Linked DNA regions of Macaca fascicularis. Each later gene encodes a partner of the first gene's protein in a complex. Links are inferred from orthologs where the notes say so. Each region holds a gene or a part of one and is shown on either strand. Other genes may lie near its edges.

Region 1 (7,654 bases):
ACTAGTGATTCTTTAGCGTGAAAATGGTATCAGAGTTGGTTTTATTTTTTTTTAATTATTTTTATTTTTATTTATTTTTTTGAGACAGAGTCTCCCTCTGTCACCCAGGCTGGAGTGAAGTGGCATGATCTCGGCTCACTGCAACCTCCGCCTGCTGGGTTCAAGAGATTCTCCTGTCTTAGCCTCCCAAATACCTGGGATTACAGGCACACGCCACCATGCCTGGCTAATTTTTTGTATTTTTAGTAGAGATGGGGTTTTGCCACGTTGGCCAGGCTGGTCTCGAACTCCCGACCTCAGGTGATCCACCTGCCTCGGCCTCCCAAAATGCTGCGATTACAGATGTGAGCCACCACACCTGGCCGGAGTTGTTTTTAAAGTATCCTCTAGAGATATCCATTCATGTGTTTATAGATTATTTCTAGATTAAATTCATGATATGAGAGGTTTGCTTCAAAATAATCTGGGGATTTGGAAGAAAGTGGTGAGGACGCAGGAAGGACTGGCTATGTGCTGGTGATGAGGACAGGACGGTTCGTTACATTTTTCTCTTTGCGTGTGCTCAAAAAAATTCCATAATACAATTTTTAAAAGAGAGAAGAAAAAAGAGAGATCATCACACCAGATTGGCAAAACAATGTCAACTTCTGCCCAAAATACACAGCTCTGCAGGTATGTAGGAGAACAAGCAGTGGCCTTTAAACACCCAGAGACATTTTCCTTGGGAACAAAGCCCTAACTAGTTGGCTCAAAAACAGTCCCAAGGAAGAAGCACAAACACCAGGCTTCGGCCGTCCCCAGAAACAGGCACCTGAGCCTTCCCTGTGAGAAAAAGAATGTGTGCGACTCACAGAGGGCTCACCTCTCTCAAGCCCATCGATGTTCTGCGTGTAGAGCCGCAGAAGCAGCCCCTTGTCATGAAGCAGCCGGAGGAAGTAGTGAGTGATGTTGGGCTTATAGTTTCCAGGGTACAGCTCCTTGGCCAAAGTGAAAAAGGGCTTGGGGTTGTGAAAGAAGAATGGGAGTTCGAAAATGGCCTCGGGGTACGGGAGATCGTACTGCTGGAGGTTGCTGTACAGGCCACTCCCTGGAGATCTGCAGGGAGAGAAGACAGAGGCTCTGAGGCCTTTGCAAGAAACCGGGCAGTGGGGAGGGCAGGAGGCAGGGGAGGGGAGTGCAGAAGGCAGGTGGGACTGCGGGCAGTACCTGAAGTCTGGAATGCCACTGGGTGTGCTGATGCCGGCTCCCACCATGGCCACCACCCTCTGGCAGGCTCTGGCCCGAATCAGCTCAGCTACATCCTGCAGGGAAAGCTTCCCCTTGTCACTGTCGCCTCCACTTCCAACAACACTTGAAGCACCCACAGAAAAAGATATAGGCCTTCTTCCACCTTTAATACTGACAGAAAAAAACACAGCAGCAAAGGAAACAGATAGCGACCAGTCTCAGGATAGCAAGAAAGCATGGTTCTGCCCTCTGCACCACCCCCACCATCCAGAATGACCATGTATGTCCTCCCAGGCCTCTCAAAATAATCACCTTTCTCAGATGACTAGTGGGCTACAACGGAAAGCAGTCATAAATCAGAATCAAGACTTATTTGGGAGCAAAAATTTCAGGTTAATGGGAACTGTGCTCATTTCATAATTCAGTACACTCAGTAGGCACTCAACTCTCTGAGTGCAAACCTCCAAAGGGGTTTTCTTTTTTTTTTTTTTTTTTTTTTTTTGACACGGAGTCTTGCTCTGTGCCCCAGGCTGGAGTGCAGTGGCGCGATCTCGGCTCACTGCAAGCTCCGCTCCCCCGGGTTCACGCCATTCTCCTGCCTCAGCCTCCCGAGTAGCTGGGACTACAGGCGCCCGCCACCTCGCCCGGCTAATTTTCTTGTATTTTTAGTAGAGACGGGGTTTCACCGTGTTAGCCAGGATGGTCTCGATCTCCTGACCTCATTATCCGCCCGTCTCGGCCTCCCAAAGTGCTGGGATTACAGGCGTGAGCCACCGCGCCCGGCCCCAAAGGGGTTTTCTAATGAAAACTCGTCAAGTAGTCGAGAAGCAAAGAGGGAAAACCCTGGCTCTAAAACCATCTCACCACCTATTAAACGCCCCATTTCAGACATTTATTAACTTAAAGTCATTCCTCAAATAGCTACTGTGCTGCTACTAAACATGAACTGTTAAGAGAAGCATAAAGGAATGAAAGTTATTATGGCTGTTGAGTGCCTGCTGAGGCCAAGGTATCCCGAAGGGTGCCTGAGTACATTCCTCATCTACGTAAATAAAATGTTTGTGAGTCACTGAATAACATATAAACGGCATTTTACCAAATGTCTGGAACATCAGATGTATGGCTTAAAGTATATGCTGCATGGTGTGAAATTCACTGGGAGTGGGGGACCCTGAGGGGCAGGCATGGGGGCAACCTGGGAGGGACACTGTGCAAAGGACACAAAGAACAAATTCAGAGAGCTCCAAAATCCAAAGCCAAACTGCAGAAAGCCCATGCAATGGACTCCTCATAGGGAGCCCGGTGCCTCCTGCTTTAGGGCCAGTGGTAGCAAGGATTTGTTTAACAGTCTTGCAGAGTATCACTGATATTAGAATGCGCTCCATGTGTTTGTCGGTCCTGGTCCCCGCTCCATCCATAGCACCTAGAACAGAGTCTGGCACAGAACAAGAGCTCAGTCAGGGCTTCTTGGATGAATGACTGACTCTTCAGGATCTTTTGTTTGAGATGGAGTTTTGCTCTTTCGCCTGGGCTGGAGTGCAATGGTGCAATCTCAGCTCACTGCAACCTCCACCTTCCGGGTTCAGGTGATTCTCCTGCCTCCGCCTCCTGAGTAGCTGGGATTACAGGCGCCCACCACCACCCCCAGCTAATTTTTGTAATTTTAGTAGAAACGGGGTTTCACCATGTTGGCCAGGCTAGTCTCGAACTCCTGACCTCGTTATCCACTTGCCTCATCCTCCCAAAGTGCTGGGATTACAGGCATGAGCCACCATGCCCAGCCGACATTTCAGGATCTATTAAACTTTTTTTTTCTTTTTTTTCCCAGGTAGATAAGAGTCTTGCTCTGTCACCCAGGCTGGAGTGCAGTGACTCAATCATAGCTCACTGCAGCCTTGAACTCTTGGACTCAAGGGATCCTCTTGCCTTAGTCTCAGAAGTAACTGGGACAACAGGCTTGCGCCACCATGCCCGGCTAATTTTTAAATTTTTTGTAGAGATGGAGGTCTCATTATGTTGCCCAGGCTGGTCTTGAACTCCTGGCCTCAAGCTATCGCCCTGTCTCAGCCTCCGAAAGTGCTGGTATTACAAGGGTGAGCTACCACTTCAAGCCTCACTTTTCACCAATATTTTCAGCAGTGTGTCAGACAGCATCAAGTCAATGTACCATTATTTACTTAAATATTCATCCATCATAGGGCATTTGATACCTAACAACCATGGACCTTAAGATTTTTTCCTATGTAGGCTCAGCTCTTAGATGCAATTACTATGGAGACGGGTATGATCACATGGGGTGGGAGCATTAACCGCACAACATTTATGAGGGATAATTAAAGCGTTAAATGCATATACTTTTGGACCTAGCAGTCCCAGTACTAGGAATTTATGCAAAAAGTGAGGTGCAAACAAGGTTATTCACCACAGCATGATGTAAGTAACTAAAGGTTAGAAGATATTTCAATGGGGGAATGGTGAACTAAACGACAAAACCCCGTAAAGGACGTCCACAGATCAGCGTAAAGACGGGCGGGTGTTGGAACGGAAGTAACTCCCAGACATGCCTCAAAGGAAACACCGCAAGGTGAGAAAGGGGGGCGAGGTGTAGACAACGAACACGCAAGAAGTGCTTGTCCTTGCCCAAAATACCTCGAAAAGAAGAAACCGGGAGCTGCTGCCCTCGGCTGCCTCCGGAATGCCCTGGGCACCGCGGGTCTGGGAGGCCTCTGCAAGGGGCGCGCCGAGTCCAAGGGCTCACCGCGGACCCCGCGGCTGCCTCTCGGTCCCGCACTGACATCGTCCCTGCCGCCAAGCACCAGCCGACAGCTCCAGGCCTGGAACGGCCCCACGTCTCCCCCGGCCTCGGCCCGTTCAGCTACCCGGCCCCACACCCGGACGGCTGCCACGGCGCGCCAACCCCAGAACGCCGTGTTCCCCGCAGCCTGAGGAGTCCTCCGGACTCGCCCCGCCTCCGCCTCCCGGCCCCGCCTCCGCCTCCCGGCCCCGCCTCCGCCTCCCGGCCCCGCCTCCGCCTCCCGGCCCCGCCTCCGCCTCCCGGCCCCGCCTCCGCCTCCCGGCCCCGCCTCCGCCTCCCGGCCCCGCCTCCGCCTCCCGGCCCCGCCTCCCGGCCCCGCCTCCCGGCCCCGCCTCCCGGCCCCGCCTCCGCCTCCCGGCCCCGCCTCCGTGTCCACGCCTCCGGCGCGACCTGGTAGACGCTGAGGCCGAGTAGAGGAAGTTCCCTAGTCTGGTGTCTGACCTCTCGCCCAGGAGGTCAAACCTGGAGCCAGCATTTCTGTACCCTGCGCTCACACCTTTTTCAACCCGGATGGCGGTGACAGTTAATACTTTCTGAGCGCTTTTACTATGGTCAGGCATTATATTTACACCTAGTCCTCGCAAGACCCTACTGGGAAGGTCATTTGAGAGCAGCAATTCCGGGTCACAAAGGCTGACACCACAAAGCTAGTCCATGGCCGGTTCGACCACAGGCACCCATACTTTTTAAGCCTCAGTGGCACAACCAGGTGCGCGGGAAGCGGGCTGCAAACGCCGGAGAGTTTTGTTCCGAGCGCAGACATGCGCGGTTACCGGGCAACCAGCGGGCCCCGCCCCCCGGCCGGCTACGGCGCTCCCAGCCTGCCCCGCGCCGCGCGGCGCCGGAAGTGAGTGAGCATTTCCGGCAGACATCCCCGCGGGGCTGACATCCCGGTTGTTCTTCTGTGCCGGGGGTCTTCCTGCTGTCATGAAGGACGTACCGGGCTTCCTACAGCAGAGCCAGAGCTCCGGGCCCGGACAGCCCGCTGTGTGGCACCGTCTGGAGGAACTCTACACGAAGAAGTAAGCTCCGAGCAGACAGACGGGCCCTGGGCCCCGGCGATAGAGGGAGACGGAGGGGGCGGGCGGGCGGAGAGGCGGGCCCTTGATGGGCTGAGGGCGCCCAGACCCAAGTTGCGGGGAAACGGGGACGTGTAGCGACTGGCTGTGCCGGCAGGGTTTGCTGAGGAACCCCGAGTGGCAGGGTCGAGGAATAAGAAGGATGACAGACCACGAGGGCCAAGAGCTGTAGCCAGGGATGTTTGGGTCTGAGATTCAGTGCTTCCCTAACGAGGGACTGTGACTGAGGCTTCTGAACTCGTCTACCTCGGGTCTTACTAAGACGGTTCAGGGGAAGCCTTTGCTTTTAGCTCTGTATTCCAGCGAAACAAGCAAACACACTTTCAGAACCAGATTGCCACCCACTTTGAGAAACAGATCTTGGTGATTCGCGCTTAGCCTTGGCATGGTGTAACTGTATCCACAGTTATCTTTCTCATGGTCTGGAGTTGATAAACCAGAGGCTAGTGCAGCTTTGCTCTCTTCCCTATTCATTCTGCAACTGGTTGCACCCCGTCCCATTGTCTTTACCTTCCATTGTATTTCTCGCTGGGCTGTGTGCCCCTAGAAAGATCTTAAAGTTTAAGTTTGTTTAGAAACAGGATGAATTGCAGAGCCATTAAATTGTTGCTAAGCACTAATCTCCTTTTAAAATGATAGGATAAATTGCTGGCATTGGGCTGGAGCTATTCCATAGAAAATACATCTCCTGTAGTAACCTCCCTGTTAACCCTAGCATTTAATATAATACCTTTCACATAGATGTTCCATACATGTTTTGATGATGTTTAGCATTCAGCAGCCTTCTGCTATTAGCAGTTTTTGAGAGCAAATTAATGTTTGGCAAATAATGGTTTGTGTTGGATAGCACTTGGTAATTTTCAAAGCATTTCATATGCGTTATTAAATATTAGCCTTTAGGTTTTGGATGAAGCGCTATTTAATCCTTTATTCATCCTTTTCACAGAGGAGGAAACTGAAGCTCGTTTTAATTGTCTTCCCTGAGATACTAGCTAATAGGTAGAAGAGCCAGAATCTCAAGGTAGATATGTATGATTCCAAAGTTCTCGTTTCCAATCAAACCTCACAGTAACCCTCTGAGGTAATCTAGAATAATGTTCTCCATTTCATACCTGGGAAAACTGAGTCTTAGAGAGAAGTTAAGTGATCTTAAAGTGACATAGCCATTCAACAGCAGAGCCAGGAAAAGAACTCAGGTTTATCGCATCTGCTTTAGCATTCTTTCTACTACACAGTAGACACTGGTTAGTATGGATTTAGCATCTCTTACCAGAAATGCATTGGGGCGGCGGGGCACGGTGGCTCATGCCTGTAATCTCAGCTACTCGGGAGGCTGAGGCAGGAGAATCACTTGAACCTGGGAGGCAGAGGTTGCAGTGAGCCAAGATGGTGCCACCGCACTACAGCCTGGGCAACAGAGTGAGACTCTGTCTCAAAAAAAAAAAAAAAAAAAAAAAAAGAAAGAAGAAGAAAGAAATGCATTGGGGCAAAAGTTTTTTGGATTTAGTATTTTTTCGGATTTTGAAATATTTTCGATATGTGCTTACCCATTCAGTATCCATGAATCAAAAATCTGAAATCTGAGATGCTCCAATGGTCGTTTCCTTTGAGCCTTACGTTGGTGCTCAGAAAGTTTTGGATTTTGGAGCATTTTGAATTTTGGAGTTTTGGATTAGAGATACCCAACCTATATTTGTGACTTGATAGGATCATCAAGGCTGAAGGTGTCTGTGACTGGATATTAGGTTAGAGGTCTTAAGGGCTGTATGTTTTTCAGGTTGTGGCATCAGCTGACACTTCAGGTGCTTGATTTTGTGCAGGATCCGTGCTTTGCCCAAGGAGATGGTCTCATTAAGGTAAATAATTTGCGATACCAGGTCAGATTATATGAATGTGCTCAAGGACTTTTTAAAATAAGATGGGCTTTTTGCTAATAATAATAATAATAAGCTACAATTCTTCAGAAGTCCCTTTATGTCAGGTACTGGTCTGAGTGCTTTACACGTCCTTCCTAACGACGCTGCTCAGTAGATACTACTTTCATCTCACTTTTTTGATGTAGAAGCAAACGTAAGACTTTAAGTAACTTACTATAGGTCACTGCTAATAAGTGGCAGAAGAGGATTCAAACACTAACATTCTGGCTTTTTCTAAAATTCTGGCATAAAGTACTATCTTAAAACATGCCTGAGTATCTTAGTTCATAGGCTTCTTTTTAGTACTCTATTTTTAGAAAACTGTTATTAGATACAAAGTTCAAACCCAGTTAGAGGGTGGAGTAAGGTGTGAGGAAGATTACTATCTGTGGGAATCTTAGATAACTTCCATCACTCCCCTTCTTTAAGCCACACTGACTGCTTTCCCAGACACTTCTGTCCTGGGTAGTGTGGAAGATAAAGCACCTTTTGTACTTCGGTTGAGGGTAGGTGGGTTGGAGGGAGAGTTCTGAATAGTGTCATGCTGCCTCTGTAATAGAGGACTTCTAGAATTTTTTCAACAGTTTAAAAAAACGCAGTTTCTTTCCTAGCCTTCC
Region 2 (7,944 bases), on another chromosome or scaffold:
CACAGGCACACAGCGTCTTGCCGCCGTCAGTGTCCTGCCTTCTGAACTACTGGAGGCATGCCACAGACAGGAAACTACAGCCAACAGAGAGGAACTACAGCAAAAGGGCCTCTATTCCTGCAATTAATCTCCAAAAAGCATCCAAGAAATTTCCCAGTGCTCAATGCTTGGTTACGAAGAGGATTTTTACACTCTTGCTTAAGAGTATACACACTGAAAAACATCACTTAAAACAGGGGGTTTAAAAAATAGAGCTTAGCTGTGTGTTTTGAAAGTAACACATGTCATTACCCTCTGGTTCTGCATTTACAACTTCCTGATATCTTGAGTTGATATGCCACGGGGCAAAAACAGCTGCAGAGCCCTGCAAAGGACAGAGCCAAATTTCACAGGTGGGAAAGAATCCCTTTTAGAACCTGGCTCTCCAAAGAACCTTCTGCAAGGCAGTTTTACACAACAGAAGCAAGTCACAGAAGGGCACAGACACTCTGTCTACCCTGCCCAGTGGGCCTCAGACACCATAACCTCGTCTGGCTATTGGAGTTGCGGGATGAGCAGGATACTGTGGTGTTTTGAAAGCCACCTCAGCCACCTGCATGCTCTCCGAAGCCTACTCCCCACCTATCCCAGGCTAATCAGATGCAAGCTCAAGTGGTCCAGTTCAAATGAAGCTCAGCTCTCTCAGCAGCACTGCTGAAGGCCAAGCACAAGGTCACAGCCTCCCCACATGCTTCATTAATAAATAACAAATGGCCAGTGATTGGGGATGTATAATGTGTTAAGAAAGTGCTGAGTGCCTTACAAGCGTTTTCTTATTTCATTCTAACAGCCCTGGGGTATGTGTGCTGATAGATACTCCGATGGATAACAAAACAGGTGCAAACAGTCAGGTCCCCTTCCCCAGGTCAGAAGATGCCTAATAGTGTCTGTGCTGGTCTCTTGGACCTCTGGTTGCCGGACATTGCCTGGGCCCAGCCACCACGCTGTGACAAGCCCCAGGAGGTGCTTTGGGTCACAGGTCTGGCTGAAGTCAGCCTGCAAGTTGTCCCAAACCAGGCCCCAGACTTGGGAGTGAGAAACAGGCAGATGACTACAACCTCAGACATTGAGGAGCAGAAGCAAGTGTTAAATAAAATGTATAGGAGGCCACTGGTCTGGACTGAGCCGCATCAGGCCCAATAGATCACACAAAAATGGAGTCACTCTTGCTAAAGTGCCGTGTCACCAAATGGAAACTAAGTGGTTTATCTAGCCTTCTAAGAAACAAGGAGAGTGAGAGATAGCTCGATCTCCAAACAAGCTGGCATAGTAAGGGAGCTCCTTCCACTTTCACCTTTACAGCAAAAGTAGCTTTGAAATAGCCAGTCCACTTTTTGTTCTCCGTGTCCGCATACTTCAGACCCTTCTGTCTATAAAACCATCCTCCTCTGCTCAACTCATCAAACATTCATTCTGTTTTATGGAATTAGGTGTTTCCCAATTCTATAATCACGAAAAAAGTGAATTAAGATCTTTAAACTAAATTTGTCGGAATTTTGCCCTTTGACACAAGTCATCCCCATCTGGCCCTGTCCAAAGTTCTGACCCACAGACTGCGAGGAATATAAAATTGTTGTTATCTTGTACCACTAAGCTTAGGGGTGGTTTGATGTGCATCGATAGTAACTAGGACATAATTCAGTTACATACTGCCCTTGTTTTACAGATGAGGAAACATGCAAAGTGCAGTACAGGGAAAGCAAGAAATCAACCCGAGTCCTGATTCTAAAGACACCTGGAGCCACAAAACGGTGTTGCACCATCCACAGCCCATTGTTTGTTTGCTCTTTGTTTAACAGGGCCATGGCCGGGCACTAATCCCAATTCTGTTTCAGAAGTGCCTTCATCTGCCCCGTTTTGAGGCGTACAGACCAGTGGTTCTCAAGCCCGAGTGTCCTCTAGAGCACCTGAAGGGCTCGTTATAAACACAGGTGTCAGGTCCCACCCAGGGTTTCTGATTCCAGATATCCAGGATGGGCTCCAGAATTTCTGTTTCTCAAAAGTTCTCAGGTAATGCTGATGCTGCTGGTCTGAGGACCATGCGTTGAGAACCACTGGTATTCTTGAAGGAGTGAGGTGAAGTTTTCTTCAAGAGTGATATTCCTTTGGAACAAGCCATCTGACTTTATCACACACAGCTGACAGATCAGGCCAAAGTGTTCTCACCTATCCCATGACTTTCTAGGGGCTCCCAGAGGAGTCATGGCCTGGCCTGGCCCTTTTTCATACTGTCCCCACTATGGTTTGCAGACACCGACAAAGGAAAGAGATATTGCTGACCCATGAACAGGTGGGCACGCACATCCCGGGGAGAAAGTTGCTGAAAAGCTGTTTTTCAAGTTAGTTTTCTGAAGCTCAATTTCTGGCTAAGGTAGCCGTAAAGGCCATATTATCAGGAGAAATAAGTGAAGGAAAAGGAGACAGAAGAATGCTTGCTGACCACACCCTGATCCTGACCCAGCGAGGTTCAGAAGGTCCTTGCTGTTGGCCCCAGGAGGTCCGCCCCGCTGTCTTATCTGAGTGGGGCTGCAACTGTGCACAGGCCAACTGTGAATGTTCCCCATGACCTTGGCCTCACAAGTCCAGAGCAGGTCACTTTCCATTTCTGTCCTTGGGCAAGCTGCTCTAGTCCCCTTCAAGGGCACATCGCACCAACTCTGCAAACCAAAGGGTTTGGTTTTTTTCCCAGTAGTTAGAGGGCACTTGCTGCTGACTCAAGGTTAAAGAAAACACTTATCTAGTAAGTGACTCATTTTAATTAAACCAGCAAAGTAATATACAATATCGGGGGGAGGTCCAAAGTTCCTTTCAATTTCTTTGAAAACTAACTACAAGACACTACCTACAACTGTATGGCTATATCTGAAGTTAAACTAAAATCGCTACTGCCTGTGGGTCACCAGTAAGAGCTGGGTCTGCTGCATACCTTGCAGCACTCAGCCTAACCTCTGAGCATGACTGCCCCCCTCCTCACAATGTGGACACTGAGGGCTAGCGGGGCAGAACAACAGGGATAACTGAGGGAGGAGCTGGAGAAAATGGGGTCCTGGTGACCCTGCCATAAAGACCCTCAAGTCCTTTCTCAAACACTCCCAAATCCAGCAAGCTGGTTATGGCCACTCTTCTGGCCTGCATCCCTCTGATCAACACCGTGTCTGCCAGGCCCTCCCTGCAGGCCCCACACCCAGGCCCACCCTGCATCCAGGGCCCACCCTGCACTTGGCACCCACCCTGCGTGGCCAGCCCTGCCTGCAGTTCAGGGCTTCCCCCTCGCTGCCCAGTCAGCGCCTTAGGTGGGGGCGAGGGTGCAGTGTACGACCCCCAGCCCCAAATCTTAGCAGAGCAGCAGAGGCCTCTGCTCAGTAAGTTTCAGACCACTGACCACCGGGAACCTCAGACCCCGCGGGTCCAAAGCAGGCCTTGGGTCGCTGGGGTGCAGTTCTCTGAGGCCGAGAACGAGAACCCGGAGGCCGCTGTTACTTCCTTCCCGCCCACAGGCCCCAGGCCCGCAGCGAGGAAATAACTGGTTCCAGCTGCCACGCCGGGTTTCCTCCTCCCCAGGTCGCCCGCCACAGCTCTGTTTGTTTATGTGGGCAGGGCTTGTCCTCAGGCTGATCCCCGGGCACCGCAGCCCCCAGTGACAACCGCCACCGCTTTGTTTTTCCGTCCACCCCGGTATAGCAACGGGAAAGTCCCGACTCCAGGGCGCTCGGGTGTAGCCCGCGGCTCCCCGCCGGCTCTGGCTCCGCGGCGCTATGCACTCGGTAACGCAACTCCGGAGTCAGCAGAGCGAGGAGCCGCGCCGAGCAAGACCAGCAGCGGGGCGTCCCAAGCGGCCACCGGGTCCCCGCGGGCACCGGCCCGAGCTGGGCACGTGGATCTGGGGCCGGATGGGATGAGGGACGGGGTGACGTGGAGCCACTGCTTAGAGCTGGCGGGGCGGACGGAATACCGGAGGAGGGGCCCCTGCAGGGGTGCGATCCGCGCAGCCGGGGGACGGCTGCCGCAGGCGAGAGGCTCCGAGTTCCCTCTGGACGCAAGAGTTGGGGGCGACCTGGGTCTCCCGAAGCCCACTCACCAGAGACGTTTAACTGGCCTCCCAGGAACCAGCCGATCTTGCCAGTGCTGAAGTCGCAGTCCCAGACGGTGTGGTAGGGGGTGTCCCACAGTAGAGTGTCCCGCGCCAGAGGCCCCCAGAAGGCGGCCGGCTCCCGGGCTGCCTGTGCACTCAGCGCGGGGTACGAGCCGGGCTGTGAGGCTGCGGCAACTGCGGGGGCGCTGCCCGAGGGTCCCGAGGCCGCCCTGCGCGGCGCGCTCACCCGACACAGCGGCCGCGCGGGCTGCCCCGAGAGCCCTCGCAGGCTGCCCAGCAGCCTCCCGACGCCGCGGCCCAGGCTGCGCGCCGCCATCTAGCCGGACTACCTGAGTTCTCTGTGCTTCCAGAGTGGGTGCCTCACGCCCGGGGCGCCCCTTGGAGTCTCCGCGGGCCCCGCCCCTGCTCCGCCCTTCGGCCACCATCCATTCCTCCAGGGCCCCTTCCCAGAGCCCGCCCGGGTCCCACCCCTTCTTCTGCTGCCCGGGAGAGGGGGGGACGCTTAGGAAGAGTGGAGCAGCGTGGAGAAGGGGTGCAGAGGAGCGCGGGGCGGAGCCCAGGCTCCCAGGCCCTGGCCCAGGCGCTGTGCTCCCGCGGGTCTGCAGTCCCCCCCGGACGTTCCTCGCGTCGGCCTGTTTTGGTTTCAGTTTGCGCGCTCTCCTGCAAGCCCCGACAGCTTCTTCGAGCTGCCAGAGGCACGTGCGGCCCAGGACTAGGGGGCCCTCTGGGATGGGAAGGAGGCGGGAGGGAGCCGGCACCAACGTTAAGAGGGCTGGTGCACCCAAGCGCACTGTTGGGTCCCAAGACGATAGGTCGGTCAGTTCCGCATCTCAGAGGCTGAAGTAAGGTTTTCATGCCTTTGTGCGCCCCGGAGAGTGAACCCCTCCCCTGGCTTCTCAGCGGAATGCGAAGGAGGTTGGCGGGGAGCCCAGACGCCGGGAGGCTGCGCAGGCCTGAGTCCGTGGTCTGGGGTCCCATGCTCCAGCCCCCCAGCTGCCGGCCTCCGTCCTGGCGGGGGTCACGTTCTGCTGGGGGTCGGTGGTGGGTGATATGGGGCGATGAGGACTTTATCCAGTTGCTCCAGCATCTGTGGCCTGAGTTCAAATTCTGTGACCTTGAGCAAGTTCCGTAACTTGTCGGTGCCTTGTTTTCCTTTTGGGGAAAACGGAAGTAATGCCTCCCTGGGGGACGGGGACGGCGGGGGTGGGGAGCTGCAGTAAGGAATACATCAGACAATGTCTGTCAAGCATCTACCCTTGCGTGGCCCCATAGTAAGCTCAGTAGTGGGGGTGATGTTTTTGCAGCTGTGGAGCCAGGAAGGACAGAAGGAAACGTATAAAACTGGTCTCCACCGAGTTCTTAAATATTTCGACACCCAAGAAGTAAATTCATAACAAAGGGGTAAACATAGGGGAAGAGAGGTTTTGGAAAACTGGTTTCTTGAGTTCTTTCTGATGTTAAAGTTTCTTTCCCTTGAGCTGTAGGGCTTGCAGAGGGGAGGAGCCTGCCATTAGAGGAGCCTCTGCGTGGGCCAGCCACCAGCCCCTGCTGGGGAATGCTGCTGTCTGCCAGAGAAGACAGGAATGTACCTAAGGGCTGGAGAATCAGTGACATCTACTAGCATAACACATGCCCTGCACAGTGCTCGCACTTGACCTGCATTTTCTCCTTTGTTTATTTATTTATGATACTTTTTTAGAGATAGGGTCTGTAGCCCAGGCTGGAGTGCAGTGGTTCCCATCATAGCTCACTACAGCCTGGAACTCCTGAGCTCAAGCGATCCTCCTGACTCAGCCTCCTGAGTATATGGAACTACAAGCGTGTGCCACGACACCCGGCTAGTCTACTTAATTTAAAACTTATCTAGTGCTGTCCACCCCCCACCGACTGTCAAACTCCAGGTGGAACAAATGAGGAAACTGAACCCAAACAAATAAAAGGGCTTACTAAAGAGCATTCGACTGGCTAAGGGAAGAGCAAGACTAATACCCAGTGCCCCCAGTGGGGAGCTCTTTGGCCTAAGTTCCCATTTGAATAGAATATTAAAGACACCCAGTATAGGGCACTGAGAGGCAGAGGTCAGTGAGTAGTAAAATTGTAAATTGAGAAAGCTCTTAACTGTAGCAGGTGGTCACATAGATGGCTACCAACTCTTCCTTCCCATACCTGCATGTGATGGCGCGCTGCTCTGTCCAGAGGAGGACCCTGGCTGGCTGTATTGCTTTGGCCAGTACAACCTGGTGGGAGGGATGCTCTGACAGTTCCACCTGGAGGCCCTGAGAGACCCTGCAGCCCCAGCTTGTCCTCCCATGGAACCCAGCTGCGAGCTGTGAGGAAGCAGGGCTGGCCTTCCAGAGGAAGGGGCCAAGGGAGAGAATAAAGCTGCCCCATGCACAGCCAGGACCAAATCCCAGACAGGAACGAGGCCAGTGTGGAGGCTCCCGCCCCAGCCAAGGCAGCCTCATGAGTCACCCCAGATAACGCCCGGGATGCAAAGGAACCTCCCAGTCCACTTACAGAATTGTAGAAGGAATACATTGTTGTTTTAAGCCACTAAACTTTGGGGTGGTTTGTAACTCAGTAGTAGGTAACTGATACAACAATTGAAGCTGAAAAATGCATGGTTCTTTCACTCACTGACTTCTGCCTCTCAGTGCCCTGTACTGGGTGCCTTTCCTCTCTCTGCCCTCCAAGTGTTGAAGTGCCCAGGCGCTCAGCCCTCAAATCCCCCTTTCTCCCCTGCCCCCTAGGAAACAGCAACCAGCTCTCTAATCTCTGACTTTCATATTGACACCTCCCGCCTGGACCTTTCCTCCACATCTCAGTCCTGTATTCAAATGTCTCATTCACATCTGAAACATACCAAGTCCTGGGATTCTTCCCCCCAACATGGATCTTCTGTGTCAGTGAATGGAAATGGCATTTTCCTGCTGTTTGGGCTCATACCCTTTTCATCCTAGATTCCTCCCCCTCACACTCCACGTGCAGCCTGTCAGCAAATCCTGTGGCTCACCTTCAGAACACCTGCAGCACTAACCTCTTCCCCCATCACCATCCTCTCCTGCCACCATCCCAACCACACCCATCTCTTCTTAGGATTATTCAGTAGGCTTCAAATTGCTTTCACCCTTGTCCCTGACAGCCTAACCAGCAGCAGTGCAATTCCTTTTCAACAAAAGTCAGAGGAACTTGCTCTGGAGCTTAGAGCAATCCAAGGGCTCCCCAGTCTCCTTAAAACAAAGGCCACATCATTCCCTGGCCCACAGGCTATAGCCTTACTACTCAATGTGTGGTCCATGGGCCAGCAGCATCACTTGGACACTGCAGAAATGCAGAATGCCAGGCTCCATCTCAGACCTGCTGCTTCAGAATCTGCATCTTAAGCCCCCAGGGGAGCTGCATGTGCATTCAAGTTAGAGAAGCGCTGCCCTCCCTGAGCCAGCGTCCCCTCTTCCTCTGCTCTCCCTCACTCATTGGGGCTCCAGCACATTGGCCTCCTCCTGTCCTTCCCATCACCAGGCAGGCTTCCACCTCATGACCGCCACACGCTGTCCCTTCTGCCTGGAATGCTCCACCCAGATGTCCACAGAGACTCCCCCTCACCTCCTTCAGGTGTCTTCAAACATCCATTCCATCCAAGAGCCCTTCCTTCCCTGTCACCTACATAAAGTTGTATCTCTGCCCTCATTCCCTAGTCCTAACCCCTGACTTGATTTTTCTCCATGGCTCTTACTTATTAGCTCTGTGTTTATCTTCCCAGTCCTCCTACCAGGAGGGAGCTCTGTGAGAGAAGGGACACCAGCTACGCTGCT

The links.
Region 2: the proteins of SIRT3 (region 1) and ACSS1 are in contact, whole or in part, in a crystal structure (PDB 3GLT), measured with the Homo sapiens proteins. The link is inferred for Macaca fascicularis from reciprocal best matches to the Homo sapiens genes SIRT3 and ACSS1. Residues at the interface, in NP_036371.1 of Homo sapiens: Gly145, Ala146, Gly147, Thr150, Pro151, Asp156, Phe157, Arg158, Ser159, Glu177, Phe180, Gln228, Asn229, Ile230, His248, Ile291, Val292, Phe293, Phe294, Gly295, Glu296, Pro297, Leu298, Gly319, Thr320, Ser321, Leu322, Glu323, Val324, Glu325; in NP_115890.2 of Homo sapiens: Ser640, Gly641, Lys642, Val643, Met644, Arg645.

The regions. Positions count from the first base shown.
Region 1 is NC_088388.1:116,014-123,667, forward strand, and holds the start of SIRT3 (NAD-dependent protein deacetylase sirtuin-3, mitochondrial), read right to left. Parts: upstream 4,842-7,654; 5' UTR 4,806-4,841; coding exon of another isoform or gene 4,726-4,805; 5' UTR 4,603-4,725; coding exon 4,484-4,602; intron 4,172-4,483; exon of another isoform or gene 3,877-4,171; intron 1,399-3,876; coding exon 1,207-1,398; intron 1,096-1,206; coding exon 863-1,095; intron 1-862. Other genes in the region: PSMD13 (26S proteasome non-ATPase regulatory subunit 13), read left to right, coding at 4,970-5,064, 6,899-6,977.
Region 2 is NC_088384.1:62,359,088-62,367,031, reverse strand, and holds the start of ACSS1 (acetyl-coenzyme A synthetase 2-like, mitochondrial), read right to left. Parts: upstream 4,486-7,944; 5' UTR 4,449-4,485; coding exon 4,118-4,448; intron 1-4,117. UniProt on the Homo sapiens protein: Catalyzes the synthesis of acetyl-CoA from short-chain fatty acids. Acetate is the preferred substrate. Can also utilize propionate with a much lower affinity. Provides acetyl-CoA that is utilized mainly for oxidation under ketogenic conditions.